4 linked regions of the Oreochromis niloticus genome follow. The protein of the gene in region 4 binds, or shares a complex with, the protein of the main gene of each other region. Links are inferred from orthologs where the notes say so. Each region holds a gene or a part of one and is shown on either strand. Other genes may lie near its edges. The genes, in order: exosc6, exosc1, exosc7 and exosc2.

The links.
Region 1: exosc2 (region 4) and exosc6 share a complex: the UniProt entries of both Homo sapiens proteins name them as parts of the RNA exosome core complex. The link is inferred for Oreochromis niloticus from reciprocal best matches to the Homo sapiens genes EXOSC2 and EXOSC6.
Region 2: exosc2 (region 4) and exosc1 share a complex: the UniProt entries of both Homo sapiens proteins name them as parts of the RNA exosome core complex. The link is inferred for Oreochromis niloticus from reciprocal best matches to the Homo sapiens genes EXOSC2 and EXOSC1.
Region 3: exosc2 (region 4) and exosc7 share a complex: the UniProt entries of both Homo sapiens proteins name them as parts of the RNA exosome core complex. The link is inferred for Oreochromis niloticus from reciprocal best matches to the Homo sapiens genes EXOSC2 and EXOSC7.

Annotation. Positions count from the first base shown.
Region 1 is NC_031972.2:7,647,209-7,654,006, reverse strand, and holds exosc6 (exosome complex component MTR3), read left to right. Parts: upstream 1-4,739; 5' UTR 4,740-4,787; coding exon 4,788-5,065; intron 5,066-5,616; coding exon 5,617-6,163; 3' UTR 6,164-6,287; downstream 6,288-6,798. Other genes in the region: aars1 (alanine--tRNA ligase, cytoplasmic), read right to left, coding at 1,131-1,276, 1,870-2,058, 2,229-2,372. UniProt on the Homo sapiens protein: Non-catalytic component of the RNA exosome complex which has 3'->5' exoribonuclease activity and participates in a multitude of cellular RNA processing and degradation events.
Region 2 is NC_031971.2:31,387,499-31,395,413, reverse strand, and holds the start of exosc1 (exosome complex component CSL4), read left to right. Parts: upstream 1-4,914; 5' UTR 4,915-4,939; coding exon 4,940-4,997; intron 4,998-5,103; exon of another isoform or gene 5,104-5,243; coding exon of another isoform or gene 5,244-5,250; intron 5,251-5,891; coding exon 5,892-6,007; intron 6,008-6,191; coding exon 6,192-6,266; intron 6,267-6,364; coding exon 6,365-6,453; intron 6,454-7,915. Other genes in the region: pgam1b (phosphoglycerate mutase 1b), read left to right, coding at 836-974, 1,778-2,052, 2,168-2,348, 3,067-3,236. UniProt on the Homo sapiens protein: Non-catalytic component of the RNA exosome complex which has 3'->5' exoribonuclease activity and participates in a multitude of cellular RNA processing and degradation events.
Region 3 is NC_031985.2:15,930,235-15,937,296, reverse strand, and holds the start of exosc7 (exosome complex component RRP42), read left to right. Parts: upstream 1-4,055; 5' UTR 4,056-4,157; coding exon 4,158-4,214; intron 4,215-4,367; coding exon 4,368-4,469; intron 4,470-5,183; coding exon 5,184-5,278; intron 5,279-6,352; coding exon 6,353-6,518; intron 6,519-7,056; coding exon 7,057-7,062. UniProt on the Homo sapiens protein: Non-catalytic component of the RNA exosome complex which has 3'->5' exoribonuclease activity and participates in a multitude of cellular RNA processing and degradation events.
Region 4 is NC_031972.2:21,288,296-21,295,932, forward strand, and holds the start of exosc2 (exosome complex component RRP4), read right to left. Parts: upstream 3,001-7,637; 5' UTR 2,951-3,000; coding exon 2,829-2,950; intron 2,480-2,828; coding exon 2,378-2,479; intron 2,286-2,377; coding exon 2,240-2,285; intron 2,108-2,239; coding exon 2,018-2,107; intron 1,874-2,017; coding exon 1,808-1,873; intron 1,728-1,807; coding exon 1,659-1,727; intron 1,147-1,658; coding exon 970-1,146; intron 1-969. Other genes in the region: guanine nucleotide exchange factor subunit RIC1, read left to right, coding at 4,671-4,811. UniProt on the Homo sapiens protein: Non-catalytic component of the RNA exosome complex which has 3'->5' exoribonuclease activity and participates in a multitude of cellular RNA processing and degradation events.

The sequences.
Region 1 (6,798 bases), about 14 Mb from region 4:
ATGAGAAGGGTGAAAGCGGATCACTTACATGAAACAGATGAACCAGAATTGGTTTGTAAAAATGGTGCAACTTCAGTGGTGTGGAACTGGTTTGGTTTTCGTCCGTCAGATACACACCAAAGTACAATTTTTGGTAGAGCATGCAAGTGGGCCGTCGTTATTACCTTGTTTTTCGGAAAATAAGGCATACTTAAAATCAATCCTTTGATTTTCTCCGGTGCGCCTTATGTGTGAATTCTGGTTGTGCTTACTGACCTCGAAATGATTTTTTGTGATACACGGCACTCAAAAATCTGTCAAAAAATGTTTTAGTACGACGCCGCACCGCTTGATGGATTGTTGGAGCATTACAGCTACCGTAGTCAGGAGGCTCACGGAGCAATACATACTGTGCTTCAACATAATATTACCGTATTGTGTGTGTATAACCTCTTTTTAAGTTTTGTGGATATTACACATGGTTATGCTGAGGATATGTCGGCCAATTTCCACTAGAAATGCCTTTTGGTTAAACTGTCAGCAGGGAATTTGCATTTTCACTATTAAATTTTTATATAGTTTTAATGCACATAAAAAACAGCTACTTGTTTAAGTGAAAATACATTGACGGGGTTTTTTTGCACTAATAAAGTTGTGGAGTTGAAAAGCATTTTGTCCCGTGTCAATTATATCGTCAGTAATAACGTTATTGCAAATTTTCAAATATATATCGTGATAAATATTTTTGGCCATACTGCCCTGCCCTAATGGAGACTATATAGATTTTTTTCTGACTGGATTATAAATTCATGAAGTAATCACTGTTGCCACCCTTACATTTGACACCCTCTGTAACTCAAAGTTGAAGTTTAATCTCTTTTTAGACCCACAGTTTTCCTCAGCTCAGGGTTGATAAACTCAAGAGTTGTTAGCTAAACCTGCTTCCTGGAATAGGTCCCAGAAACCTAGTGTTTACTAAAGCAACCAAGGTCCATTTTCCCACAGACCATGACATTGTTTTGGAATGTCGCCGCCTCTTTCTGGCCATTAAAAAGATTGCAGGTTTAAGGCACTTCCAAACTGGTTTCACTTTTCACATCACAAGCTTTATCTATTTTTACATACAGTCAATGCTCCCAAGGCTCACTCACCCCAAGTCCATCCAGATCTGTTTGCACTCCAGGTCGGGCTCCAGGCCTGCATCCTCATTACCTCCAAAGTAGGTGACATACAGGCGCTCTAAAGGAATACCAAACTCCTGAGTCAGCAGCTCCAAGGCCATCTTACAGGCCAATTCCTGCAGAGCAAAAATGATGCAATAACAATTTAGAGCTGTTTAGACACCGTCTTGTCCATTAATAATGATAATTAATATGTCATTGTAATATAACAAGCAACATTGACAGAAAGGAGAGAACAGCAAGATTCTCACATAAATCAACTTTAACCACTTTACCCAAAAATATAAAAAGAATGAGATGAGGTCCAGGCTCATATGTTCAAGCATTTTTGTATTAGAATTATCTCCTTTTCCATACTAGCGAACAATTCCCTCATTCTTATTTTGAAAGTGCCCTTTTCCTGTGCCTCTACAATGAGCTCACCAGTACTACAAAGCTGAACAGCTACTGTCCAAGACAAAGAAGTTATAGAGTTGTAGACTGACTTGAGAGGGAGCAGATTATGCTGCCCAGTTATACATTTGTCACAAAATACTTGGCAAACAAAATATTTGCAGAGGAGAAATTTATAAATGGTGAAAGCGCTTGCAGCAACGTGTGTGTATACTCGAGCACCATTCCACAAACATGATCTAAATCTGTGGGAAAGACTAAAAATACAAGTAACAAAAAAGTTAAACTGATGTATTGGATGAAAAAAATGTAATACCTTAAAGTAGTCCCCAAAGGACCAGGAGCCCAGCATCTCAAAGAAGGTGTGGTGGTAGACATCTTTACCCACATCGTCCAGATCATTGTGTTTGCCTCCTGCACGAATACACTTCTGGGTGTTGGCAGCACGATGCAGCCTGGCCATGGGATGTGATGGATCAATAGTGTTGAGGAAGATGGGCTTGAACTAAAGGAAATGAGGTGCAAAAACAAAAAATCTTGAGAAAAAAATTATTTTTTTCAAGAAAGTTTGCTAGATCTGATTTCTGAGCCTATTCTAAAAGTTGTGAATCAGTGGGTACATAAAAAAAAAAGCCATGGTGTAGGAAGCAGTGCTGGGAAAGACATGGTGTGTACCTGGTTCATGCCAGCATTGGCAAAAAGCAGCGTGGGGTCATCCAGGGGGATGGTGGATGAAGAGTGAACATACTGGTGCTCATAGCGACAGAAGAAGTCAATGAACTTCTGGCGAATTTGAGCTGCATTCAAGGAGGAGTCCATTCTGAAGAAGCTCTGTGAACAAAATTACACACAGAGAAAAGAAACACTTTAGCTATCAAGCACATTTAAGGAGGTCTTGTCCAAATGCAGCCAGTGATTTTTTTTTAGTTAATTCTTGGTCCAATTAAATTGTTCCAGGTCAAAGACAGAAGGATAATTTAACCCATAGAAACTGGTCCCATTTAGAGAGGTGGATGATTATTTGGTCTGAGTAACAGCAACTTTTCTACTAAGTTATTAAAACACAATTAAGGCCTGTTCTTCCCTTTCAGGCAGTAGTCACCTTAAGGGTACACTCTTAGTGCTCTTGTATCCAAATACTAATTTGGCAAGTACAGAAGAGGTAGGTAGGTAGGTAGGTAGGTAGGTAGGTAGGTAGGTGTGTGTGTGTGTGTGTGTGTGTGTGTGTGTGTGTGTGTGTGTGTGTGTGTCACATCTTGGGTAAAGCTTTTTAACCAGCTGTTTAAAACACTGCCTTAATTAACAGCATCAGCAATTTCCCATGGGTTTCTCTTCCTGTCATATGACTTTGCAACTAGCGAGAGCTCTGGCAAGGCTGGTGCATAAGTTTGGGGTTGTACAATTTTCTGTCATATTTTAAATGCAAGTAATGTGCTTTGTTGGAAGCTGTTGAAGTAGCTCCTTTTTAGGTAGTAAAATGTCATTCAAGGCAATCCCATATAATAAAAAAAGAATTATACACTTGTCAGTGCTTTTAAAGGCTGGTTAAAGAACCGTCCAGTATTGGCCAGAAAATACATGACTTTGTCCATAAAGTATCAAAACATTATGAAATTGTTTATCGGTCATTCAAGTGTCATGCATGTTTTGATTTTACCACTCCACACCAAAAGCTTAAAATTAAGTCTGTTTGTACGGTGTGGCTGTTAACCTAGCTGCAGCTAATTGGCCTGAGGCTCTCCTCATAAACAACAGCAGCTCAGGAATCCAGTAAGACAGGTGAGGCGCACAATGCTCTAATCTTAAACCATGAAGTCAAATCCAATTTTAGGTAAGAATGGAAACAAAAGCACTTTATTTGGACTTTTGCAGTACACATATTTCATTAAAAATGTGATACCATATATAATTAAAAGGCAGCAGAGCTCAATTCCCATTGGTGTAAACTAACTGCCAAAGGAAACCTCAGCTGGTGTTTTCAGCTTTCTGGGAATAAGGAGTGGATGACAAACAGCCCATGTCCCCATCCTGACAACAAACCATTTAGCGGGCAACCAGAGAAAGAAAAGACGTGGGGTGTAAGTATTAGCCCAGTGGTTTTGAGAAATAAATAATGGTACATTTTCAAGACAAAATAGGGACATATATAATCATAGAACAGGTAGACGGAGACCAGGTTGATGATAAATACTGGACCCATCTTTCAGGTTAGTGACAGGAACAGCCCTGTTCTCTGTCTCCATGGCACAAAACCAGTGAACTTAATCTCGCAAGTCTAACATAAACTTCCAGACCACACAAATTTGTGACAGTCATGTGATACAACATATTTCCTCTTAAAGTGCTACCAAAAACCGACAGTCTGCAATGTAAGCTAGTCAGCTGACTATAATTGCTATTCTAGGTAGAGGCACTAGCTTGATCTGACGTTAGCAGGCTAATGTGTTAGCCAGTTAATCAAGCTACCTCCCTGCACTCAGGCTGAGATAGACAGTTCGGCACACTGCTCTAACTGAAAGGCTATTCTGCTGAACAGTACAATGAAGATAGCTTATTTCAACTACATTTAAACACATGAAAATACTCACAGAAGCCGCTATTCCCGCAGAATGAATCAGGTACTTCTCCTTCACTCCACGCTGCTCAAACAGAAGGAAAGCACAACCAGCGGTCACACCTACGACAGCCTCCAATTGGTCCGGCTACACAGAAACGTCAGGAATCTGCTTTCCTATTGAACAAATCTACTGTCCTTCTTAACAGAGCCCGCCACGGCAGCGATACAAACCTCCGTGCTTTGGCTGATGCAACTAAAACGGTGTCAGCTCAGATTTTTGTTGTCGTTTTTAAATATATTAGTTGATGTAGAGAAATATGTGAGAAAAGTCCGCAAGCCCAATGAATTCCAGCTTTTGTTTCAAGTCGAGCCGAACATGTATTCTAACTTTTTTAACTAATGTTGTTATTTATTTATATACATTTTTAAAAGAAATGATTGTATTCTGTCCTTGATCAATAACATGTATCACTTTTTTGTGACTGTTATTTTATGGCAGAGGAACTGACTAGTAATAATGATGAAATATTGCTGCATCCGTACGTACTCGATATTTCGCTTTTCTGATGTAATATCCTTCAGTGTGCGTATATTAGCGGAAGCATTTCTCCCGCATGCTATGTTTCTAGGGGAAGAGATTTCGTGCGGGACCGGTTGCTTGGGTCATTTACTTCAACATGCCGACTGACACCAAACGTGTTCGTGGTCCAGAAGTGTCTCAGAGCCCGTCTCTGTTTTCGTGCGATCCGGCGGCGGTTCTGCCCTCGAAGGGGCCCAGAGCGGACGGTCGGCGGCGGGATCAGGTCGACGTCCGGCCCGTTTTCGTCCGCTGTGGCCTGGTGAGCCAAGCTAAAGGCTCCGCGTACTTAGAGGCTGGAAACACCAAGCTGATGTGCTGCGTTTACGGCCCCAGAGAAACAGACCGGAAGGATGAGACGGATATGAAATGTGGAAGGTATGGAGTTTGTTTGTTTTAAATCTTTAAGCATATTGACTGCTCTAACAACACAACAAACAAAGACATAGGTTTCTGATGATTAAACTGTGAAGTCATAATAAAAATACAGCCTGCTGTGTCTTACATGGACAGCAGCATTTTGGGGTTTTCTTTATTTCCACCACTGTTCTAAACTACACATGCGTGAAAACTAGTCTAAACATTAATAAACCCCATAAACAATCGAAATGCAACAGAATGTTAACTTTTGCCCAAAACAGTTGCTGGAGACATTATTGACTTAATCCAAATGCAGCACTTTTTTAGGGGAATAAAATGCTTTTTGACATATCCATAAATCATAAATGTTCACAAAGAGGCAACTCCTTGTGTTTGATAAGAGTTTTTGCATTACTTTCACTGCGAACTGTTATTTAGTACCATAGTTGGGTAGAAAACTGAGCTTATGTGGGTATACCATAAAGCATTCAGTTTGAAGTGGACACTGATATCTGTGAGAGTTTAAAAAAAAAAAAGACTCAACCACAACTGTTTTTCTCTGTGTCCAGATTGACTACTGACATGCGCTTTGCTCCATTTTCCTGCCCGGAGAGGGGCTCCTGGATTCAGGGGAGTCAGGACAAGGACTTTTCCCTGATGTTACATGAGAGCCTGCAGCCCGCCATATGTCTCCACAAATACCCTCGCTCTCAGATCGAGGTCAGCGTGATGGTTCTTGAGAACAGCGGTTCAGTTCTGGCCCATGCCGTCACATGCGCCTCTCTTGCGCTTGCAGATGCGGGGATCGAAATGTATGATCTGGTGCTCGGTTGCTCCATGCGCCAGGATGGCACCTCCTATGTGGTTGACCCTTCCTACATGGAGGAAAATGGCTGCAGCTCAGTGAGCTGTGAGAACCAGGGCGGTCTGACTGTCGCATTCCTCCCAAGCCTGAACCAGATTTCTGGACTGCAGTCTGATGGAGACATGACTGAAGAGACTCTGACCGCTGGGGTGAGGACCTGTATTGAGGGATGCTATAAACTGTACCCAGTTATCCAGCGTGCCCTGACAAAGGCTGTGCGCAAAGCTGCTCCATCACAATCAGAGAGCTGAGTGAACCACGAACTCCTCCGTTTAGTTTTTCCTGTAGATCATTTCCAATCGTTAGTAAAGAACATGATCTATTTTTCCATGTGTGGTATTAGTTTATATATTAAAAGAAAAATATTCACTCTGAGATTCGCCTCTTTGCATTTCCTCATTAAATATAGACAGTTAAATAATGTATATTCTCCCTGGGATTTGACACTAAATGCTTCCCACAACACTGGAGAGAAATTGTTCAACTGGTATATTTTTAGTAGGTGAACTCTGGCAATGCAAATAGCCTCATATAAGCAATATATGCAATATAATTACAGATGGATTTGGTCACAAAAAGTTTGTCAACACCCTCTGTCACAAACAGAATTACACAACCATTAAACTTGTCCTTGTCTTGTGTCCTGGCAGAGCAGGTAAGGTATGGCTACATCTGTGTCAACATAATTTTGTGTTCTACAAGTCATCCTCATACCATTAGGGGGCACCCTAATGTTTTAGTGAAATCTGGCTGTGGTTAATGACTATCTTTACCACAAACATGCTGCAGCACTCAAGCTTTGTACTTACCTTTATTCATCACACAAGCAAAATGTTATTTGGAGGTTCCAGCAGACTGTAACATATCTGGGATGAACATGTCAAGA
Region 2 (7,915 bases), on a different chromosome or scaffold from region 4:
TTTCTTTTTCATCTTAATAAAGTGCACAAATATCTATAACATCTTTGATGCATTTAAGTAAATTGTCTACAGTGACCTAAAGAATTATGAAAGTAACCGATTATCGCGTTTTTGACAGTGGCAAGAGAAACTATGTAGACTAGGAGCTTTGAGATTATGGCACAGTCTTATGTTTCGATTATGTTTCACAAATGCTAATTAACTAATGGTTCTATCTTAAATATGATCAATCTTTCGCTCTCCGTGTATTTATACACCACTACAGAGTAGTGTATAAATTTAATAACCAGTAACTAGATTTAATCAACAGTAACAAATTTGAAACTTGTGTGCATGTGTGTCTCCCTCTGCTCTCTTCTCTTTCCACTCATTAAACTGAATTGAATAGATGTTTCTAATTTAGTGAGAATATGCGATAAATGACTTTTTTCAATGATTAAAGTGATCATTCATGATTTTTTTTTTACAGGCACGTGTTAACTTGATGCACAAAAGTCGGTGTGGACGTGCCGCTGTGCGCATCTTCCTGCCTCCCTCCTCCTCCGTTGAACGCAGCACGCCTTGTGATTGGTGGAAACTAGCAGGAAGAGAGGAAGAGGACTCAAATCGTGAGGGCTGTCAAACTGGGCTAGTCGCTAACCTTCCGCAGTAGCAGACCTGCCATCACTCGAGCTCACGTAAAGCAATCACCGACCTGTTGCTGTGTAGGAACTTTCAGGGTTTCGGTGAAGTCCGGCGAAATCTGAGAGCGTTGCTGCTGCTGCTGCCGCCTTTTAGGAGGAGTCACTTTCCCCGAAGTTCCCGGAAATACAGCGTAGAGGGCATTGGTGTGAGGATGGCTGCGTACAAGCTTGTGCTGATCCGCCATGGAGAGAGCTGCTGGAACCAGGAGAACCGCTTCTGCGGCTGGTTCGACGCGGACCTGAGCGAGGCCGGGGAGCAGGAGGCAAAGAGGGGAGGACAGGCCTTGAAAGGTACGGTATCAGAAAATGTCATCGGGCCTAATAGGGCTTTATCTCGGTCACTGGATTAAGCCAAGGCAAGCCGGTGCTTACGCAACTTTGTCGAATGGGCAAACCGGTAGTAGGCCCAGTGGGGCAGAAGGGATGGAGTCATTCCACGGTTTGTTCCGCAGTCTGCTGGGCCACACGGTCACTGCTTCAAATTAAATGCTACTGGAGTTTTTTTCCATTAGCTTCCCTCCCACCAGGGCAGACAGTTTGGCGCCTCCTGGTGCAGCAGTACAGCCTCTAATTTTAATTCAAAGGAAGCAATTCTTATTTGTGGTGGTCTTTAACCACAGAGGTATTTAGGAGAGTCCTAATGCGATTAATTTAGCGTCTTTGACGATTTTAAGAGTGTTTGTATTTATTGAAATGTTTTTTTTCCCAAGGAATAAGCTTATTAATTAAAACTGGAGCATAAAAACCAGGCCAAAGATGCTTTTATTTCCAGAGGAGGGCAGAATATTACTGTTTCATGAGTCATCATGCTGGATTTTGTGGGGTTAGGTGGACGGAACAACACAATTTTTTTTTTTTTTTTTTATATGACCTGAAAATCCCAAACAGGCACATCTTGCAGTGTTAAGTTTGCCAGTGCCTTGCGGCCCCTGACCAAGCAAAATCAGAAGCAACTGATAAAAGAGGGGCAATAAAACATTAAGGTATCTATTATTTGAGCCATGAACGGCAGCTGCAGTAGTATTCCTTCATGAAAAATATGACAAGCTGTTTTGAAATGCACATTTCTAAATGTCATCTCTTTTTCCCTTCAGATGCTGGCTATGAGTTTGACATTTGCTACACATCTGTCCTAAAGAGGGCCATCCGCACTCTGTGGTTTGTCCTGGATAGCATCGACCAGATGTGGCTGCCTGTCCACCGGACCTGGCGCCTCAATGAGCGTCACTATGGTGGTCTGACTGGGCTGAACAAGGCTGAAACAGCAGCCAAACACGGGGAAGCCCAGGTCAAGATCTGGAGGCGTTCTTTTGACATTCCTCCCCCACCTATGGATGAGGGACATGACTACTATCAGACCATAAGCAAGGTATTAAGCAGCTCGGGGAAATTGTGACAAGTTGACTCTTTTCGTTATTGCATCAATGTAACCCTGCGTTGCTGAAACTATTTTGACAACACCGACTTCTTCTTTTTCCCTGTAGGACCGACGTTATGCTGACCTGACAGAGGACCAGCTCCCTAGCTGTGAGAGTCTTAAGGACACCATTGCTCGGGCACTTCCTTTCTGGAATGAAGAGATTGTTCCACAGATCAAGGAAGGAAAGAGGGTGTTGATTGCTGCCCATGGCAACAGTCTCCGCGGCATTGTCAAGCACCTGGAGGGTAAGGAAAAGAGAAACTTGTGAAACATTTCTCAGCACTAAAAACACCTTTCAGTGTTATTTCACTTACTATGAGTCAACAATGAATTGGGGTACCTGCTAAACCTTCATAAAGGCCTATGAACTTGATATCATCCATTTGGGTTTTAGGGAAGTCAGAAATTATCTTATAGACAAGAGCGTAGAGTGCTAAGTTATTAGCTGTTGCAGTGGCTTAACTAGCAGATAGTTATTGGTCTAGGTGGCCACCGCATGTGAATTAATGTGACTACATTCCTAGTAGTGCAAACTAGTGCAAACTTATGACTGTGATAACTTTAGAGTTACACAATGTTGGTTTTTGAAATTATACCATAGAGGCATCTACTAAAAATCTCAGGCAAGTTTGAGTCCTGGTAACCTTGACCTCAAGGTCAAGGTCACCAGGACCTTGACCTTGAGTTTGAATCTGTGACCTTGAACTCAAAGTCAAGGTCATAGGTCACATTTTATACTATTTCTGTATCTACTAGCAGGCTGAGGGATAGGCAGTATTATCTGTTCCAAGCAGGTTTATTTTAGTTCTTAAGTTGTGAATTTTAACATAAGAGTTTAACAATCATGCGTTTGTCATACAAAGCTACCATCTGCTGTCAAACATTTTAACGCGGTCTAAAGCAGCAGCAGCAGCTACATGCAAATGAATTACAGCTCTGTGTCTGTCATTTTTTTTTTCATAGGTATGTCAGAGGAGGCCATCATGGAGCTGAACCTGCCCACAGGCATCCCCATCGTGTATGAGCTGGACAAGAACCTGAAGCCTATTGGGCCCATGCAGTTCCTGGGAGATGAGGAGACTGTAAAGAAAGCCATGGAAGCTGTGGCTGCTCAGGGCAAAGCCAAGAAATAGACTTGTCCTTCCTTTGGGAGTAAAGAATCATCATCTGCTTTTTTTTTTTTTTTTTTTTTTTTCTTTCCCCATCAAGTTGTGAAAGGGTCATTTACTGTTTGTGTCATCACAGACTTGAGGACAGGTAGACACAGAATGTGCACTTTATCTTAATACCACCCATTTTTCACAAAAATGTACAATCTGATGTTTAATTTGACTGCTCTTTACTTTGTTACATACTGAAACATGCATTTCATTATTAGACTGTGGATATCAGTTGTAATGTGGTTTAAGCACTGACCAAATATAAATTAGGGACCAGCAAACAGACTACCCCAGCAGAGTTCCAAGTATTCTTTCCAATTTACAATCCATGTAGATGAAGCGCAGCGGAAGCAGGAAAAACCAAAAGTTACACTGGCTTTGTTAAAGAGAGAGCAGATTTGCTCTAGACTGCTGAATATTGTTTGCTGTGGCATTGTGCTTAAAAATGAATAAATGTTGTGAGTCATTATGCAGTGTACTGTGTGTGATGTCTTTTTTTTTTTTTTCCAGGACAACTGCACTTTTTTTTTATATGGTAATTGAGAAATTTGTCTCAGTAAAAGGCAAATATTGAAATGCACTTTATCCAGTTCCCTCACTAAGTAAATGCGATTGGCAGAAATTAAAAGTTTGTTGTAATTAATTATGTGACAGTCCCTGTTTCTCCCTTTTCTGTCACAGTAACTGCTACTTCAGCAGCTGTTCTGTTGGTTAAACATATTTGTATTTCTTATATGCATCCATAGATTAGCACATTTCACAGGAGGCTCAGATACTTAGTTTTGTAAACTGCAACCAATCCAAAATATGAGAGAGTGTTTTAGTTTGTGGGATGGGGGCAAGTCTTTTTTTTTATTTTCTCGAAGGTTTGAGATGCACCGTAACAGGACTATGATAAACATGATTATTTTGAAAAAATGGCTGCTCGGTGGCAATTTTCCGATTATATGATTCTTTTAAAACCATGCTCAGAGAAACAGATTTTGAATAAAAGCATCGACAATTTAATTTACATTGTAGGGAAGTAATAAACCTAGGAAATCCCAATACTGGAAGTAGCTAACTTTCATAGCAGAGGTGGGTAGATTGATACCAATATCAATAGTATCAATAAGAATGCTGGTACTGGTGTCCGATACTTTAGCATCAGATTGCTACCAAATTTTGCAGTATCTCGCAGCAGTATTTCATAATTATCTGACCATATATGACTTATTCAATCATATAGTAATGCACACATGGCACGTACCCGCCCATGTGTGGCTCAGCAATCATGGCGGATCAACGCATTTTGTTCCGCTGACGCTGAATGACACTGACCAATCAGAATCTTTCTGTGCCCTTAGTCCTAACCAATAGGCTGCCTACGTACGCCTCTCGAAAACATGTCGCCGATGAAGCTGTGCGTTCCCGGTGAGTCCAGTAAATTCGTCTCTAAAAGCGCTTAAAAACTAAATATACCAGTGTGTAGATTGTATGTTGGGATATGTAGACAGCTTTAACAGCTTTAGAGTCATTTTCTATTAGAAAAGGAAGTTAAACTGCATTCTGAGCGTGTGAAACCCTGGTGATTATTTCCAGCTGCCATGCGTGGAGTGGGCTTTGGCTTCCCGTACTTGTAAGGCTGTAGTAACTTATTTTACAATCAATCACATGTTGGATCAGCTGACTGTCAGATGGAGTCGGGGTTTTCAGGCCTACCGTATCATGGTCTTTTACTGTATTTGCAGGGCTGTGAGTTACTGACTTTGGCTTTCCACGGCTGATGAGATCCGATCCTCAGCCCTGCCCATCTCCTCGGGCAAGATAACGCATTCCTGAGCTTTGTTTTGTCACACCCGTGGGAAAGCCGCAGGTCTATCCGGCGCATGGCAGTAGTGAACCTTAAATGAGTTGTCTGCAGGAGTAACATTTAACTTCATTCTAATTACGGGTGAAAGAGCACAAAGTAGCAAGATAATTAATTGTAGTGCAAGAAAAATGAAGGGTAGTATTGTGTCACATGACATAAATTATGTTTTGTGTTTTAATCTTCTTGTCCATGATGTGTTTTGTGCTTAAGGTTTGCAGATACACTGTTAGTCCCACAATGCTGTTACATCAAAGTATCCTCAGTTAGTCTCTCAGTTTCAGTTAGCAGATGATAACCAAAATAAGGGAAACTATTATTATTATTATTTTTATTATTCTTTAGTTATATATTATATAGTCTACGTTCACCATTGTAACAAAATATTCTGTTACAATGGTGGATGCTTATATTAAACATGGGCAACGTTTTAAATAATGATATGTACAGATCATCCCTGTAAGCCAGTAGCTCAGGCTTCAGACTCTACTGAATGCTAAGTTTCGTTTTTTTTTTCTACTTTTGGATCTTTGTTATGTCCTCAAGAGAGGGAGGATGTTCAATTTGTCTGTTTGTGAAGGGAAGTCAGTCAGATAAAGATGGTTGATGGAGATGTGAAACGGCTGGGTTCAGACATGGAGCAAAGCCCAGTATAAGATAAAGATTATTTTTGGTGATGACTCATGCAAAGATGTTTTTATTTTAATTCTTTTTTTAGAAGGAACAGTGCATCTCCAGAACCCAAACACTAACACATCTGTGTCTTTTTTTATACTTAGGTGACAAACTATGCAGCTCAGAAGACTGTATTCCTGGCACAGGAGTATACCTGCGACATGGCTACATATACTCGTCACTAGCAGGCTATGTGCTCAGGAAGAATGAGGGAGAGGAGGTGAGGGGTGTGGGTAAGACAGGGGAGGGGAAAGTTTGTTCAGCAGTGAGACAAGTACAAATGCCAGACTAAAGGTATTTTTGCAATGTCTTTTGATGTGAGTAAGCGAACTAGTTTTGTAATTGTCTAAGGTGATATTCACATCATATGGATAACTTCTACTGGGATTATTTTGTCTCCTTAGTTACCAGTGATTTCAGTTGTGAGGGAAACAGAAACACAACTGCTGCCAGATGTAGGAGCAATAGTCACCTGTAAGGTATGCAATAGAATAAGAAACTGTTACTATCGCTGCATGTTCTGAGTAAATAATCTTGCACAGTTTACAATCTGTTTTATTTATTTTTCATTTAACAGGTAACCAGCATCAATCCCAGATTTGCCAAAGTCCACATCCTTTATGTAGGATCCACCCCACTGAAGGACCGCTTTAGAGGCACGATCAGGTAACCACAAAATTTGAGCCAGTTTTTGTCTAATATTTTATTGTAGACTGTTCAGTTTTATTTATACAGCATCAAATCACAATAACAATTGCTTCAAGGCACTTTATATTGTAAGGTAAAGACCCTACAATAACACAAAGAAAACAGAGAAAACCCCAACAATCATATGATCCCCTATGAGCAAGCACTTTGGCGATAGTGGGAAAGAAAAACTCCCCTTTAACAGGAAGAAACCTACAGCAAAAACAGGCTCAGGAAGGGTGGCCAATAAGATAAGATGAGGACTGATTATTCAAGACCTTGTATGTGAGGAGCAGGATTTTCAATTCAATTCTGGATTTAACAGGGAGCCAATAAAGAGAAGCCAATATACGAGAAATATGCTCTCTTTCTAGTCCCTGTCAGTACTCTCGCTGCAGCATTTTGGATTAGCTGAAGGCTTTTCAGGGAGGTTTTAGGACATCCTGATAATAACGAATTATAGTAGTCCAGCCTAGAAGTAATAAATACATGAACTAGTTTTTCAGCGTTAGTCTGAGACAGGATCTTTCTCATTTTGGAAATGGAAGAAAGGCGTCTTACATTTTTGTTTAATATGTGCATTAAAGGACATCCTGGTCAAAAATCAATCCAAGACTCCTCACAGTGTTACTGGAGGCCACGGTAATGCTATCCGGAGTAAGCATCTGTTAGACACTGCATTTCAAAGATTGTTAGGACCGAGTACATTAATCCCAGTTTTATCTGAATTTAGAAACAGAAAATTAGAGGTCATCCAGGTTTGTATGTCTTTAAGACATTCTTGTAGTTTAACAAATTGTTGTGTGTTATCTGGCTTCATAGATAAATGAATGAATAGATAAAGTTTAGTGTTATCTGCATAACGTGAAAATAAGTGAAAATGTATGCTATGTCTTCTAATGGTACTGCCTATGGGAAGCAAGTATAATGTAAACAGAATTCTAGAATGGAACCCTGTGGAACTCCATAGTTAACCTTCCTATCTGAAGAGGACTCATAAGAAGCTCATTTGTAACCTTCACTGAAGCTGATTCTGTAAAGAAACTGTTAGAAATAGCAGGTGAAGTAAGAATGAAGAAGCCTTTTTAAAGTTGCTGCTATCCTATGATTGGAACTAAACATAAAAATAGTAATTACTGCATCCAGATTTTAAGATGAATTCAAAAACATATTTTTTTATTGTTTTTTTTTTCAAAATAAAAATTAATCTAATTGTAATTCTCAGCAGTACTTCCCCAGCTAGTCTTTTTCCAACTCAAACTGATAAGTTGATTTAAAAACAACGAAATAAACTCATTAAAGTCTCTACTTAAACTCCATATATGCATGCCAAACCTTCAGACTGCTAATCGTGTGAGATGGGCCTGAGGCAGCCAAAAGCAAGACCTGTTTTGAGGAGGTGGTTGTAGAAAATGAAGGTGGAGCAGCAGCATTGACAGCA
Region 3 (7,062 bases), on a different chromosome or scaffold from region 4:
TCCAGAAACAACTCCAGACCAACCACTTGCTTTTTTCTCATCATTTATATTCAATATTCAACTTCCTGTATTACATTATGTTGTAACTGTGGCTGCAAAGGTGTAGCAACACAGTTTGTTCCAAAGCTACACACACACAGAAAAAGCTGAAGCATTTTTGGGAACTGTTTGCTTTAAAGTTCAAGTTTCAGATTACTTCCCCCGCTGCAAATAAGGTGTAAGTTCACCACCTTCACTCTGGTTAGATGAACGATTGCTTTATTGGAGTACTAAATGAGCTTTGAGTACACATGTTAGTGTCCCTGTAATAACCACGTATTTACTCGTGTGACTCACTTGATGTGTGTTTGACTCAACGGGTGGAGGAAGTCCACCTGTCGAGTTTCAAGTAAAACTTGCTTCGGGATGCAGGAAGCTTACACATGGCCGGACTGTCGCTGAAATCGACTCCCTTCATTAGAAACAACAGCTAGAAACAGCAATGAAACCAGTGTTGTGTGAAAATGGAGACGATGAAAAAAGATAGAAACTCAAGACAATGAAATAGGCAAGAAAGCCCTGGAGTGAAACTAACTACTGATGCTGAGTTCATTAACAATTAAGCCAATAGTTTCTTCTGCAGAATGAGTCTATAGATTTCTGTCAGTGAATAGCTGCTTATACAGAGAGGAAAACCAATTTAAATGGAACAGAAACACTTTACACAACCAATCTTGTCTAAGACGATCCGGAAGATACAGTAGATACAGTATGTGAAAATGTTTAACACGGTAAAGGTAAGTTCATTTGAAATGCATGCAGCACACTAAAACACTCCATGATTCACAGGTATTTTTGATACCCTGCTGTAAAATAAATTACACCACCGAGTGAAGGAGGCAGCTGAGCGGGCAGGCAGCACGAGGACCTCCTGTTGGGATAAACAGCCAGTTAACATGCTGATGTTGTTCCACTTTACTGATAGTCTCATCGGGCCACTTAAAAAACTGAAAATGGTTGTTTCACTCAAGACTAATGTGATGCTTCAGGGATTATTACCGCAAAAACAAACATGACCTGATTATGATACCGAATCACATTGTTTTATTTATCATCACGTACATACTGCTGTCCCTGTATTGAAGCAGAGTGGCAGAAATCGGAGACACATTAGACACAACAAACTGCTCATGGAGTAGCTGTTGATGGTCTTTAAACTGACAGAGCGAACTCTCCACTGGCTAAAGCAGTGATGCCAAACATGCGGCCCACCAAAGGGTCCAATCTGACCCACTGGATGGCTTTACAAAGAGTGAAAATTGCAAAGAAGTCATTAATTTGTCCAGTTTTTTCAGTAAAAAATGAATTGTTACTCATTTTACCGATGGCATATTTATTGTACAGGTGTGAAACGAATTGTTAGTTGAAAGTATTTCAAGATCTAGACATGGTTTAAACATAAAGACGTAGAACACTACACCCATTTTTCTCAAGTTCACCTCGGGTTGTTTATCATTTGTTTCACATGTGAATTTTTAACATGAAATGACACCCTGTGTTGTAGGCTTATTTTTAAGGGAGTGGGGTAAAAGTGTGCCTTTCAATTTAGCTTATCATTTCATATTTTTCGAAATATTGAATTCAGCTAAGGTGAACGCTTTTAAAATGCACTTCTTTACACTAAAGAAACACTTTCTTACACTTAAGATTTTTTTAATCAAGTTTTACTGATTTAGCAGACTTGAGATCAGCTTCTTGACCAATGCTTGGTGTGTGCGTAACCTGTGGACTACAGATGTAAATTGAATATGTGGCATGTTTACATCTACATTCATTATCACACACTGTTTGTGTTTAATAAAACATCTCTCCTTTGCGCTGTAGTCCTATACTAACACTCAGGTGCTTGTGGCCACAGATCAGGATGCACTCTGTATTCTTACAACTTTCTATCACAGCCCTCATGATGCTTGAGCACCCATCACTCGTTGTCCTTTTTTGGACCACTTTTGGTAGGTAAAAGTCTCAAAACCTGCGCTCTTTGGATCTGGTGTGACCTAACTGCTTCAAAGCAAGAGGCTCCTGGGTTCAAACCTTCCTGGATGCTCTCTGTGTGGAGTTAACCTGCTCTTTCTGTTGTTGTGTATGTTTTATTTAGCTGCTCCCATTTATACCTAATGTCCAAAGTTCATGTACGCTTAATTGGTGACTCTAAATACATTAAAGGTGTGGATGTGAGCTACGAAAAGAGTTAAAGGTGGAACAGAATAAGACCCTGGGTGAATGCGAGTTGTCAGTAGGACTATTAAATCTCAAAATCTCAAGTCAGTCCTCCTTCCAATAAATCATCAAGAACAGACTGTTCACCAATATATTTGACTCCATGACAAAGTGCGACTCTGAGGAGATGATCACCTTTTTTTTATTTCAGTCACCTGTCTTTGGTTTCACTCTTATATTACTATTCATTAATTTCTTATCTCACTGTGCTTTTTTGTATCTTATTGAGCTATTTTGTTTTGTCATATGACATTGATTTTATTAAGCCATTCACAATGAGATAAGCTATTTTAATAATAGTTGTATTTAATGTTATGGCAACTGCAAGACAGCAGTTTCATTACTTGTTTATCCACTACATGATTTACTGACTGGTCCTTCCAGCTCGTCTTTGGCCGATTTGATTTCGAGGATAAAAAAACAGACATCTGCTAAAATATGTTGAATAACCTGAAAGGCACTAAGGAGGAAATAGAACAAGGGTGTTTCTGGGCTCATCTATATGGCTGAAGTGCCTTTGAGCACGGTTTGCTGTATTTCAGGTAAAGTAACCACCACAAAGATATGATGAGTAGCGTATATGGTAACATATATGCTGTATAGGATATAACTACTCATCTTTGGGAAACCAAACCAGGAAGTTAACTGGTAGCTGGAACAGAGCGGGATGACTGGTTTTCCAGCAGTTGATAACTGGAAACACTTAAAATGTACAAAACCATTTTCCAGAGTGAAACTGGGTTTTCACAGCCTACCTCGCACTCTCCTGCCTTTCTCGACGGACGCTTCTTGAACTCTTCGTGTAGTTTAGAGGCTTGTAGAGTTAAGACACCCCAAACTATCCACACACGCCTGTCTGCCCCTCCGCTGCGTCCGTTAGCTCAATCCCAGCTAACCTCACCGATCTTCGGACAGTTGCCCTCCACGGCCCCAGCGACTCGGCTCCCGCTCTCGCTGCTGTCTCGTTTTCAAAGAAGTGTTAATTATCCTCGCTAACAGTCAGCTAAACGTGACCTGAAACAAGGTGCTGCCGAACTGCCGCTCCTCCCGTCAGATCCAGAAAGCTCTGCGGGTAGCAGGACAACAAAACGCAGATCCAACCAGGAAGTCAGACACCCTATCCTGTCTATTATAGGCCGCTTTGCCCTGAGCATTGGCTTCTAGGTGGTACTTTCACCCGGGCTGTGAGATCAAAACCTTGCAAAATCCTACCGACCCCCTTACGATGGTGAGGGCTACTGAAGGTTAAAGTGAGTAAGTCAGTAAGGAAAATAAATAATGAAATAAATAAGGGATTGTACTAGGGGAGAAAAATTTCCATAAAAAATTACGAGGAAAAAAAATGAGAGGAAAAAATGTGTCAAATAACCCCCCAAAATTACGATCTTTTAAGCAAAAAACAAGAACAAAAAAATGTCAATCTATGACACAAAAAGCAAATTTACACGCAAAAATTGGCAATTGTTGAGAAAACACTCACCTATTTATTAAAGAAAATAGCAAATTTTCTTTAATAAAATAGGAAATAGGAAGTTTTAAAAAAAGAATCTAAAACAGCAAATTTACAAGTAAAATATATAGGACACAAATTTCGTGGAAAAAAACTCACAAGAAAAAAATTACAAAAAATACGCGGCATAAGTTAAAACACGTGCAGAAAAGTCGTTGTAAAGGGTTGTTAAAACTTTAAGTTGCTTTTCGTGTCAACATCAGTGGAATATCTTTGTTTTTATGAGATTACTCTCTTGTGTTTGTTAGGTGGGGCGCTTACCTGTAAAGATTATTAGAAAACTCAAACAACCAGCATGCCCTTCGGATTTTTGCCCCATTGTCGACTTCTGATGACGCAGGGGTAAAGCGACAGACATACACACACATGCTAAAAGTGTTTCTGAAAAATGGCAAGAGTGCAAGTTAGTGAAGCTGAAAAAGTGTACATACTACACGGCATACGAGTAAGTTGTTAACAAACATGTTAAAAAATACAGCCCCAGACTTTTATTTATTCTGTTAAAATCATTTCAAATGTATGTATTTATGAGCTTTAGCGATGGGAAGCTAGCTGTATTAGCACTGTCTCTGTTGACATGTTTCTTCCTGGTCTTCAGGATGACTTAAGGGTGGATGGACGAGGCTGCGAGGACTACAGACACATGGAAATAGAGACCGATGTGGTTTCCAACACAGACGGATCCGCCAAAGTCACGCTGGTAATTAAATCAGACAGCATCTGCAGCTGAGAGCTCTAAAGAGAGCATGTGTGAACAGCTGAAAGACTGAAATTTAATGATATTTCAACAAAAATCAGTTACGGCCCAGTCCCGTCCTCTCATTTACGACTCTGAACTCTGGTTTGTAGTAAAAAGGTAACACATACAACAGCACTGCCGAAGGCCTCAGAGTATGTCCCAACTTCTTCCTGAAAAAGAGAATCCAAATAGTTCAAAGAACCAGAGTGTGGTTTGAGAAATCCAACACTGGCACATATGATTGGACTACATACCATAGAGTCCCATTTAAAAGGGACTCTAACTAAGGCCACCCTCCACAACAGTCCCACATGTGGCCCTTTGGGAAAATTAGTTGCCCAACTTTGCATTGACTCGTTAAACGATTTACGCAAAAACTAATTCTTAAAATCACATCTAAATTTGACTTGGAGCCAGTGTAAGGAAGCCACTATGGCTGATATGTGATCTCACTTGTCACTTAAGAGGCTTCCCACAGAGTTTTAGTCCAGCTACAGTCAGCAAAGCAAAACCTGAATGACTTGACAGATGAATGAAAACTGTTAGTAGTAAAGCTGAGATGAAGTGAAGGCATGAATAAGCTTTTCAGAAGTCAGAGTGCTGTTGAAGCTCATTTCCCTGTTCCACTGTCACACCAACCCTTTTATATACCCCCATGGTTTGTCTCTCTTTCAGGGGCACACAGCGGTTCTTGTGGGGGTTAAGGCAGAGATTGGAAAACCGAGGCCAACGGTGCCAACTGAGGGCTATTTGGAGTTCTTTGTTGATTGGTATGTATGCTGCTAAATGATATTTCTGTTTATGAGGGGTATAACAATTCTGAAACTGTGGTCAAAAATAGCGATACAAACATCCACAATATCATTTCACTATTCCACTTGAAGCTGGTAATTCCACGTTAAAGCACGCGTGTCTGGTGAGAGCTGTAATCAGGGGTGTTATGTGTTTGAGTCCAGAGGTGCCACTATGGATTTAACAGAGGGGGGAAAAGTCCCACAGCTCAGTAATGCACAGTAAGCAATTTTCTACAATCATCACAGTGATTATCGAAATTTGCTTTCTATGTTAATCACAGAATTATTTTATTTTATTTTTACATATTATTGATGGGCACAAACTGTATAGTGTAGCAGCAGAGTTGGTGCTAAAACATGTAAAAAGCCTGAAATTCAGTACTGATTTTGATTACTTCTGATTTGATTGATTAATTATTATCATTATTATTATTAATATTATTATTACAATTATTATTCTCATTATTTGCTGTGAGATTTATTTGGCAGCACGAGAATGTAAAGTAAAGTAAAAGTGTGACAGCTGCTGTTATATAAAAAGAACTCGAAATACCCCAGAATAAAAAAAAAACAAAAAAATAAAAACAGATTAATTTAGTGTATTTTTACTCCATTCATGAATGTGGTTTAAAAAACAACTGTTTTTTTTGTTTTGTTTTGTGGGGAGTTGAAAGGTAAGCCAGGCTGTGGTTCAGAAGAGTTGTTACACCCCCTGTTGGTTTAAACATGGGTGCGCGTCATTTTTTTACAGTGTTTAGGTGACACATCATGAATTCAAATCAAAATTTTGCATCAGCAATTAAAGATTTTAAAGACATTGAAAGTAAAAATAAATCATTTGAAGTTAAGTGAGTGTTTTAATGGATGTGCTGCCACCAGGAGGTAGTGTTGCATTATCTGTTCCCTGGGTTTCCACCATAGTCCACTACAGAAAATATTATCATATGACCATACAAAACGTATGTGTGTGAAGAGAGGTAGCAAGACTAGCAAGCTTTACTGTGGGATAAGCTCCTGCTGTACGACTTTACTGGGTTGTTTCTTCTTCAGTTCGGCCAATGCGACCCCCGAGTTTGAGGGCAGAGGGGGTGAGGAGCTGGGCACGGAGCTGAGTAACACCCTCTACAAAGTCTTCAACAACAAACGCAGCATCGATCTGAAGAGCCTCTGCATATGTGCTGGAGAACACTGCTGGGTGCTCTATGTGGATGTGCTGGTGAGTCGTAGCATCCAATGCTGCCTTTTGCTTCCTGAAATTTTTTTCTTTTTTAATATTTATTTTTTTTCTAGTGTGCAAAAAAAAAAGAAAAAGTGCACTGTACACTGCAGCTCCCTTTGTCCATGACTGCAGGTTTTTTTGCCCTGCATTTGAGGGTCATTGAATTTTGACCAGTGATCCAACCAAAATCCTCTCCTCTGCTGCAATAACAAATGTGTTGTTTTTAGACAGAACAAGATATTTTTGGACAATAATTTGACTTTGAGAACTTATTACACCAGTCATTTTCACAATTTTCTGACATATTGTAGCACAAAAAAACGAATAAATAATTAAAATTATTCCATCACAACCCTAGATGTGATTCTTATGGGCTTCTGTTTTTATCCTCAAAACGACAAGGCTGCATTTACCTTTTTCTTCCTGTTTGTATAGTAAGAGTTGTTAGCGGTGTAGAGGTGTTAAGATTTACTTGAAAATTTCCAAATAAATCCAAACAACTTGGGTCAAATCTCATGTTTTTATGCTTCCACAGCTCCTG
Region 4 (7,637 bases):
AGCTGGATCGAAGGTGACCAACTCAAACAGTCAAGGATGCTCCAACTTGATGGAATATTTGGTTGCTCTGGCCTTGCGTTTAGGTTGAATGATGAAAGTTTGTGCATTTGGTTGAAGCTAAGCACACAAAACACTACTTGTGTGAGCAGTAAAAATCATTAATGGATGGCAGCGTTCCCGTTCCATTGACAGCCATGCATGCCCGAGCCTCTTTCCAAGTTTTAGTTCATCAGTCCATAAAAATCTGTTCCAGAACTCTCACTGATTTTGCAAACTACAACCAGGCCTTTCCATTTAGAAAAAAAAATAAAACTGTTCCTTGTGCTGAATGCTTAGGTTCTCTACATATTCTCTCCACTTAGTTTTTCAGTCCACACCTTCATTTTAAAATAAATGTTTAAATTAACTACCTTTTGATACAAAATATACAATATATTAACTATATATTTTTGCTTTTCTGTATCTTGTTACTTTCTTCGTAAGCATGGTCGTGTGTTGAATCCTCCTACTGATAGACAAGAACAGCTCAATACTCTCAGTGAACTTTTAGCAGCCAAGCTGAAAACTAATATTGCAATTACTATTGCAGACAAAACTGCCACATAGTTCTTTCGATCTTGATGTAAACGTACTTAAATCAATGCTCAAACAGAGGCACAGAAGGAAAAATGTGGGCAACCGCCAGTGCTACCCCTCAGCCTCTGAGCAGACACACCTTTGATCTCAGTATGAAAATTCTAGATGGCTTCCTTTTCGAGTTATCGCATTCACACGAGATTTGTGAAGATCAGAGAACTTATTTTGACCTTTGACCTTGAGGTCAAGGCCGCTGAGATTTGAAGTCAACCAAGATTTTTAGTAAATGCACCAATTGTATCAATTTGAAATTCCTACATTTCCTGAAACAACAAGAAATTGTTTTACAAATTCATATGCCCATTGATCAGTAATAAAAATATGGCGTCCTACCTCAAGGCTGGTGTAGAAACCTCCAGCTTCCTCCTCCTGTTGGCCCGGTGTGGGATACAACCACACAAAGCCGTTATTCCCCAGGATAATGGATGCGCCACACGGCAGGTTGTGGAAATGTGTTTTCTGCCTCTTGATCAGAGAAGGGGAAAGCTGGACCAGCACTCCTTGACCCAACTGATAGTCAGGGGAAGTGGAGACAGGGTGTTAGTTTAAATGAAAATGAAAATAACGATTGTTACTCTTATTATTGAGCTAACACAGTTACTCCAGTTTTTGCTTGACTTCCCTGGCATCCTGTCAGTTTTAGGGTTAATTTGAATATTATATTGATTGTTTTTTGGATACTGATTAGGTTGGCCTGGCACAACTGTATTTGTCTGGTCTTATTAATGTCCACACTCCTGTCAGAGCTCTGAGGTCTGCTAATCAGTTGATTAAAAAAAATAGAGCTCGTTGAGCTTTTTCAGTTGTTGCCCTGAGTCTCTTGAATAAGTTTCTTTTTTTCATTAGATCTACCAAAACGGTTTCTATTTTTCTTTACTCAGTTTCTACTTTCCGGCCTTTAAAAAACCTTGACATCTTGCTCGTGAAGTGCTTTGATTAACTTTGGTCATTTGTAATGTGCTATATAAATAAACTTGCCCGTGACTTTTTCACATGTCTTTGTGTACACTGGAATAACTTACTTTTCCATACTTTAAACTGCGGGTGTGAAGTGACAGAGCTCCATCCATGAAGACAGACTGCACCTCTGCCTGAAACCACAGGAAAGGTTCAACACAGATTATATAACTGGGAAGCCAATGAGAGATTATAATAGAGAAGTCAGACTTACACTGATTAGATCTCCTTCCTGAAGATATTCTCTCATGGTCAGCTCATCTTCTGCTGATCTTCTCCTCTAAAAAAAAAAAAAAAAAAAAAAAAGGAAAGAAAAGAAAAGAAAAGAAAAAGAAAAAGAAAAAGAAAAGATGATCAAATATTAATTTTAATATGTCAGCCAAAGCCGTCTTCTCCCAGTGAATCACATTTTCTATCATCTCACCAGCTCTCCTCCTGGCAGGTTTACAGAAGACAGCAAGAGGACAGAGTCCAGTCGGGAGTTTGTCTCCACTTTCCATCTTTTCTGCTGCACCTATACATTTTAAAGAAGAAGAAGAAATTTTCTTTAAAAGCCTTGGAAACCAAAATGAAAACAAGTTGCTGCAATCACTGTCTTTTATTATAACTAGAGCGGCTGTATACGGGAACAAATACTAGGCATTACCTCTGTAATTCTGCCAACCACAACATCTCCAACTTCACCATTAAACCTGCAATCAAAGCACACTTCACAATGTAAGAACGAGTATATAGATAACAGGCCCATCTAAGTCTTTGACTGTTTAAGAGTTCAACCACTCACCTGGTTTTAAGTGGCCTGACACAGATGAGTTTGTCCACCCTCTGCACCTCTCCTGCGACTGAAGCTGTCAACTTGTCGTCATCAACGTAGGTGCCATGACCCCTGCGGACAGACGGTATCAAACATTAGTTCTGAAGAAAACAGCCAAAAAAATAAAAAGAAATAAGGGGTAAAGTGCAGCATTCAGAGGTCACACAAAACAATGCTGCAGTTTATCCGATTAGAGTCCTTATCCGTACTTACTGTGTATCAGTCTAGAAGATAGCAAATGAGACAGGCTGACTTTATGCTCACCTGCTAATTCAGTATGGCCCTGGCTATCATCTGGAGCATTTTTAGTTTATTTTTTAAATTACCTTTACAAGCCAGATACCAGAAACAGACCCGAACAGCAGCACACTCCTGTGTTTGGTTGATTTTCCATAATAATTAAAATAAAACCAACACCTACCTCATGAACCCAGTGTCTGAAGTAATAACATCCCCCGGTACGACCAGATCTTTTCGGTCAAACGCAGACGCTGATAGCGACACGGTTTTTCTAATAGTCGGTAATCTCATATCTGCAGCCATGCTTCTGCCTTTGCTTCTTCTTCTCTTCACTTTTTTGGCGGTATACGGAACTGATAAGAGTTTTACTGCCCCCTACTGACGCGTTAGTTGTATTTATTTACTTTTTTAAACCACCGAGTCTAAATAAATGTATATTAAAAAAAATAAATATATGTCTTATATCTGTGGCGTTAGTGATATATACAAACAGTAAATGTTAATGAGGAGAAAAACTCACAAACACTGTTTCTTTTTCTTCTTTCGCCACTGGCATAATCTAGCTTCTTCCCAGCCTATCTCTAGCATCCTCTGTCACAACAACTGCACATCCTCCTTCACTACATCCATGAATCTTCTCTGTAGTCTTCCTGTTTTCCTCCTGCCTGGCAGCTCCATCTTCAACATCCTTTGTCCCCTATATGCAATCCTTTGCTCCGAACCATCTCAGCCTTGCCTCTCTTGACTTTGTTTTCAAACCACTCAGCCCGAGCTTTTCCTCTGATATACTAATTCCTAATCCTGGCCATCCTGGTGGACTGCCAGTGGTAATCTCAACATCTTCAGCTCTGCAACCTCCAGATCAGTCTCCTGTGTTTTTGTTAACACTAACAAAGACACAGTGCAATTCCTCCTGACCTTCTCTATACTTTATGAAGTACCATGCATAATTTTAAATGTCAGTTCTCCCTTGTCTTCACACGAGCCTGCAGAGTGCTTCAGCATAGTCCTGTTCCACAAGCTTTATTTGATTTGATTAATATGGGAAGAATGATATACTAACATGATTAAAATGCCACGTTATTTTAATAATACTCTCATTCTGCTAAATAGCGCCACATTTCATGAATGGATTTATGAGCTGGATACAAGAGATAAAATTGATGCACAGGCTCTAAATAATTAGGTTAAAAGCTTGTGTGCATATATGTTGATTTAAAAAGAAAAGAGCACATGTAATGTTGATTATGGCTGCAGGATTCAGTGTCCTGGTTCCAATTTTAATATGGAAATAATAATAATTATTATTATCAAAAGAAGAAGTAGAAATAGAAGAAAAATAATTTATTTCATTTAAAAGATGTCAGATAGACTGCAGTCGCACAGTTCAGAAGTCACACCGCAATTAAATTGTTTTTCCCAGGCAATTCCATTTTCACCACCAGGTGGCAGCATCGAGCCAAGCTGCCGCCACCGCCACCTGGATTCGTACAACGGAGCGGTGACGTCAGATGTCAACAGGACGCAAACTTCCACTGTCTCAGCCAATCAGCTTTAAGTCAGACAGACTCTTGGAAAGATGGCGACGGTGAGGCGCAGAGGAGTGAAAACTGGACGCTTTGCTGTTACTAAACACCGCAGATCCACACTTCGCTAGAACCCACACGGCACCGGGTGTGGAAGTTAATCGGGCCGCTCTTGAGTCTGAACCCGCCGTTTGGGGCCGTATGGTGAACCTGCGGGTCTGCGTGCTGTTGTTTTCGGTTACACTTGGACTGCTCATTAGCTTTAAGTTGAAAAGCCAGCGCTAGCCCGGGGCTAGCTGTGTAGCCTCCGTCGGCTGTTTGGAAGCTGTATGGCACCCTTAACCGGTGTCAACACTGGCTTGTATATACCTTATATTTTTGGGGGGTATTTCCGGAGTTGCTCATGAGTCACCTGGATTAAATATTGCACTTAAGGAGGAACAGGGGACCACAGACTATTTGGCACTGCTGCGCCGAGGCGGAGTGAGTTTGCCGTCATGTATTTTCTAACCGGCTGGCCACGGAGGCTGCTTTGTCCGCTGAGGAGCGAAGAGGAGCCCTTCTACATCCAGCCCAGCTCCCAGCGCTTTTACTTCGCTCTGCTCTCAGAGACCCAGCTCAGCGTCTGGTTTAGTCGGGTGAGTTGAAACTCGGATCGGTCTTGAAATCAGCTGACAAAAACAAAAAAACGCTAGCTAAGATATTGGATCTGGTATCGTTTTCATTTCAAACGCATTGCAGCAGAGGGTGATAGCCTGGCCGGCTGCCCTTCATGTTTTATTAAGTGCCGTAAATAAACACGGGGGGAAACTGTGGTGTCCCCAGATGAGTAACTCAAACTACTTCTTTTTTTTTAACCTTGATGTGTTGGCAGAGGGTTCCACGTACACACCTATCAGACTGCAGGTGAACTCGTTACACATCATTACACGTGGATGAGCTGTCGTTCATTACTTAAGTTATAACAATAATTTGACAGCAAAACTCAACCACAGTGGATTGGTGTTTACCTGATAGACGCTTTATAGCAGTTCAGTTTAAAGTTTCCCAAATGTTAGTAAATTGTGTATTTTGGTAGGTGGACTGGTACTATATAGTGCCTTTCTGCTCAGATGAGCATTCAAAGCACTTTCTTACTATAAGTGTTACACACATTCATACAGATGCCTACATTGCGGGGGTCAGTACCTTTGGTATCTTTGGAGGAGTCAGGGAGCAGTCCACGGACCTTTAGATTGGTAGACCACCTACTCTACCAACTAAGCCAAGTACAGCTACCTCTGCTGTACTCATCAGTTTTACTCAGCAGCATACAGGTCAAAGGTTAAGTTACTGTCAACAAAACATTTGTAATAGTGTTCAAAACATGCCATGGCATGTTTTGCTTACCGGTAGTTTTCAGGAATTTAGGCAGCGGAGTTACAAAATAAATGTCAACATTTATCTCAGCACAATAATCAGGCTGTTTATTTTGCATGTCATGGCCACAAATGCATCACACGACAGGAACATTTCACAGTGACTTAAAACCAATCAACCAATGTTAATTCTGTCTATTTATAAACTTATTGGTGCGGTCCATTAAGTTTATAAAAGTTCCAACATGCTGTGCTGCAGCTGGTTTCTTAACAAAACACCAAACTCTGTCGAGCACTGCAACATCTAAAACATCTGGCTTAATTGACTCCATTCAGTCCACTGAACCTGCTGGTATAGAGCCAAGGGAGCAGTGACTTTGAGGTGCGTGGTAACAACATAAACAGGGCTGACCAGATGGCGATGCCAGTGATGTGACATTTGGACAGACTGTAGAAATTAGTGGTAGGTCAGGAGCTTGTCAAACACATGAATGCTTTATTGGCAAGCTCTTCTTCCCAAGAAATGCAAATAAAAACATCAAGGACTTGATAAGTTGTTGAAACGAGGGTTAATTGATTAAGTCTAACAGCATAAGAAAAAAATATATGCGTATATTTAAATATATATTTTGAGTCATTGCATGTGGGATTCAGGTGATGTTTGACATGGTGGCAGCTTCATCATATTAATTCCTGTTTTTCACACTTTTTAAAAAAAAATCTAAAATGTAAAAAAAAAAAAATGCAGAGAGTAGACGTGGTTTCTCTTTTACTGTTTCCAGGGAACTTCTCTACCCACTAAGCTCAGCTTTCAATACCATAGAAATGTGGAATGGGTCATGAATTGTTTGGTGTGCCTCCATTTTAGTACTTCTTCAGTATCTTCATCAACATCATACAGAGTATTTTGAATTCTTCCGTGTTGGCCTTGTTTATTTGGACGTTTTTGCCATGGTGACATGGAGAGGGAGCATATGATTGATTTTTATAACCTGCACTTGGGTACATTGTTTATAACGGTCTGTGATACACAAACATGCACACACACAGTCTGAATATTATTGAGTTGTGGCAACAATGGATCAGGGTTACAGTTAATTTCCCGAGACCTGCACAGGATGCGACCTTGTTTTGTTTCCCCTCTTTCTTAAGAGTTCTGAGTGCCTGCAAGTATCCGTGGGGCATCCAGGAAAAGGAATGTCGATTGGAGGAACTTCTTCCTCTTAACATGTGCTGGTCACCCCTACTAAGTCCATTGTGTCCTTCAACTTTTCTGTAGAGCTTAGGGGTTATCAGATGGCTAACATCAAGCTACTGCAGGGCTACCAGAGGAAGAAGTAATTTAGAATTTTAAACAAAATAAGGAAACAAAAGTTGGTGAACTAAATAGCACCAAAAATTTAGCTTAGTTGTTTTGTTCAGTCTTGCCAACTGATTGAAAGAAAGTACCAAAAGTACAGACTAACCTCACTGTGATGTTTCCTTTCAAATCCAGTGTGTTGATGTAGAAAGACAAAAGTAAGCTATTGAGCTGCCAACTTGTCAGTGTGCTACGTCTATTTAACTAAGTTTTGCTTTTCCTATTGAGGAGTTGGGTGTCTGTTTCCATCTGGTTCAGGTGTCATTGGCATTATTAAATTTTAATTGTATGAAAGCGACACCATAAGGCAGGAATGGTGAACCCTGTTGTGTCATTACAGTGAGTAGATACCAGCATTAAAGTTGTACAGCTGGAATTACATTACTGCTTTACCTCACCGTAGCCAGTGCCCTATTTTTTCTGTAATACCAAACCTTTTTTATATGTTCTCAATGGAAACCGATTCAACAGCCTTAGACTCCAGGATGCCATACATACTTTGAAAATGATTATGGTGCTGATTGTGCAAGTGGAAGGACTGGATTAACTGAATCAAGAGAGGTCACCAGAGTGAAGCCCACACATGAAAAAGCTCGATTACCACTTTCATTGGCAGTAAAATCAATTGGCAGTCATACTTTTGTAGCAAGTCTCAAGCTTCCATTATTGCTGATGATCTGTGCTGTTATTGTTGAATGTTGAATTGTACTGCGCCAGATGCTTGATCTTAAGAAACCAAATATTTT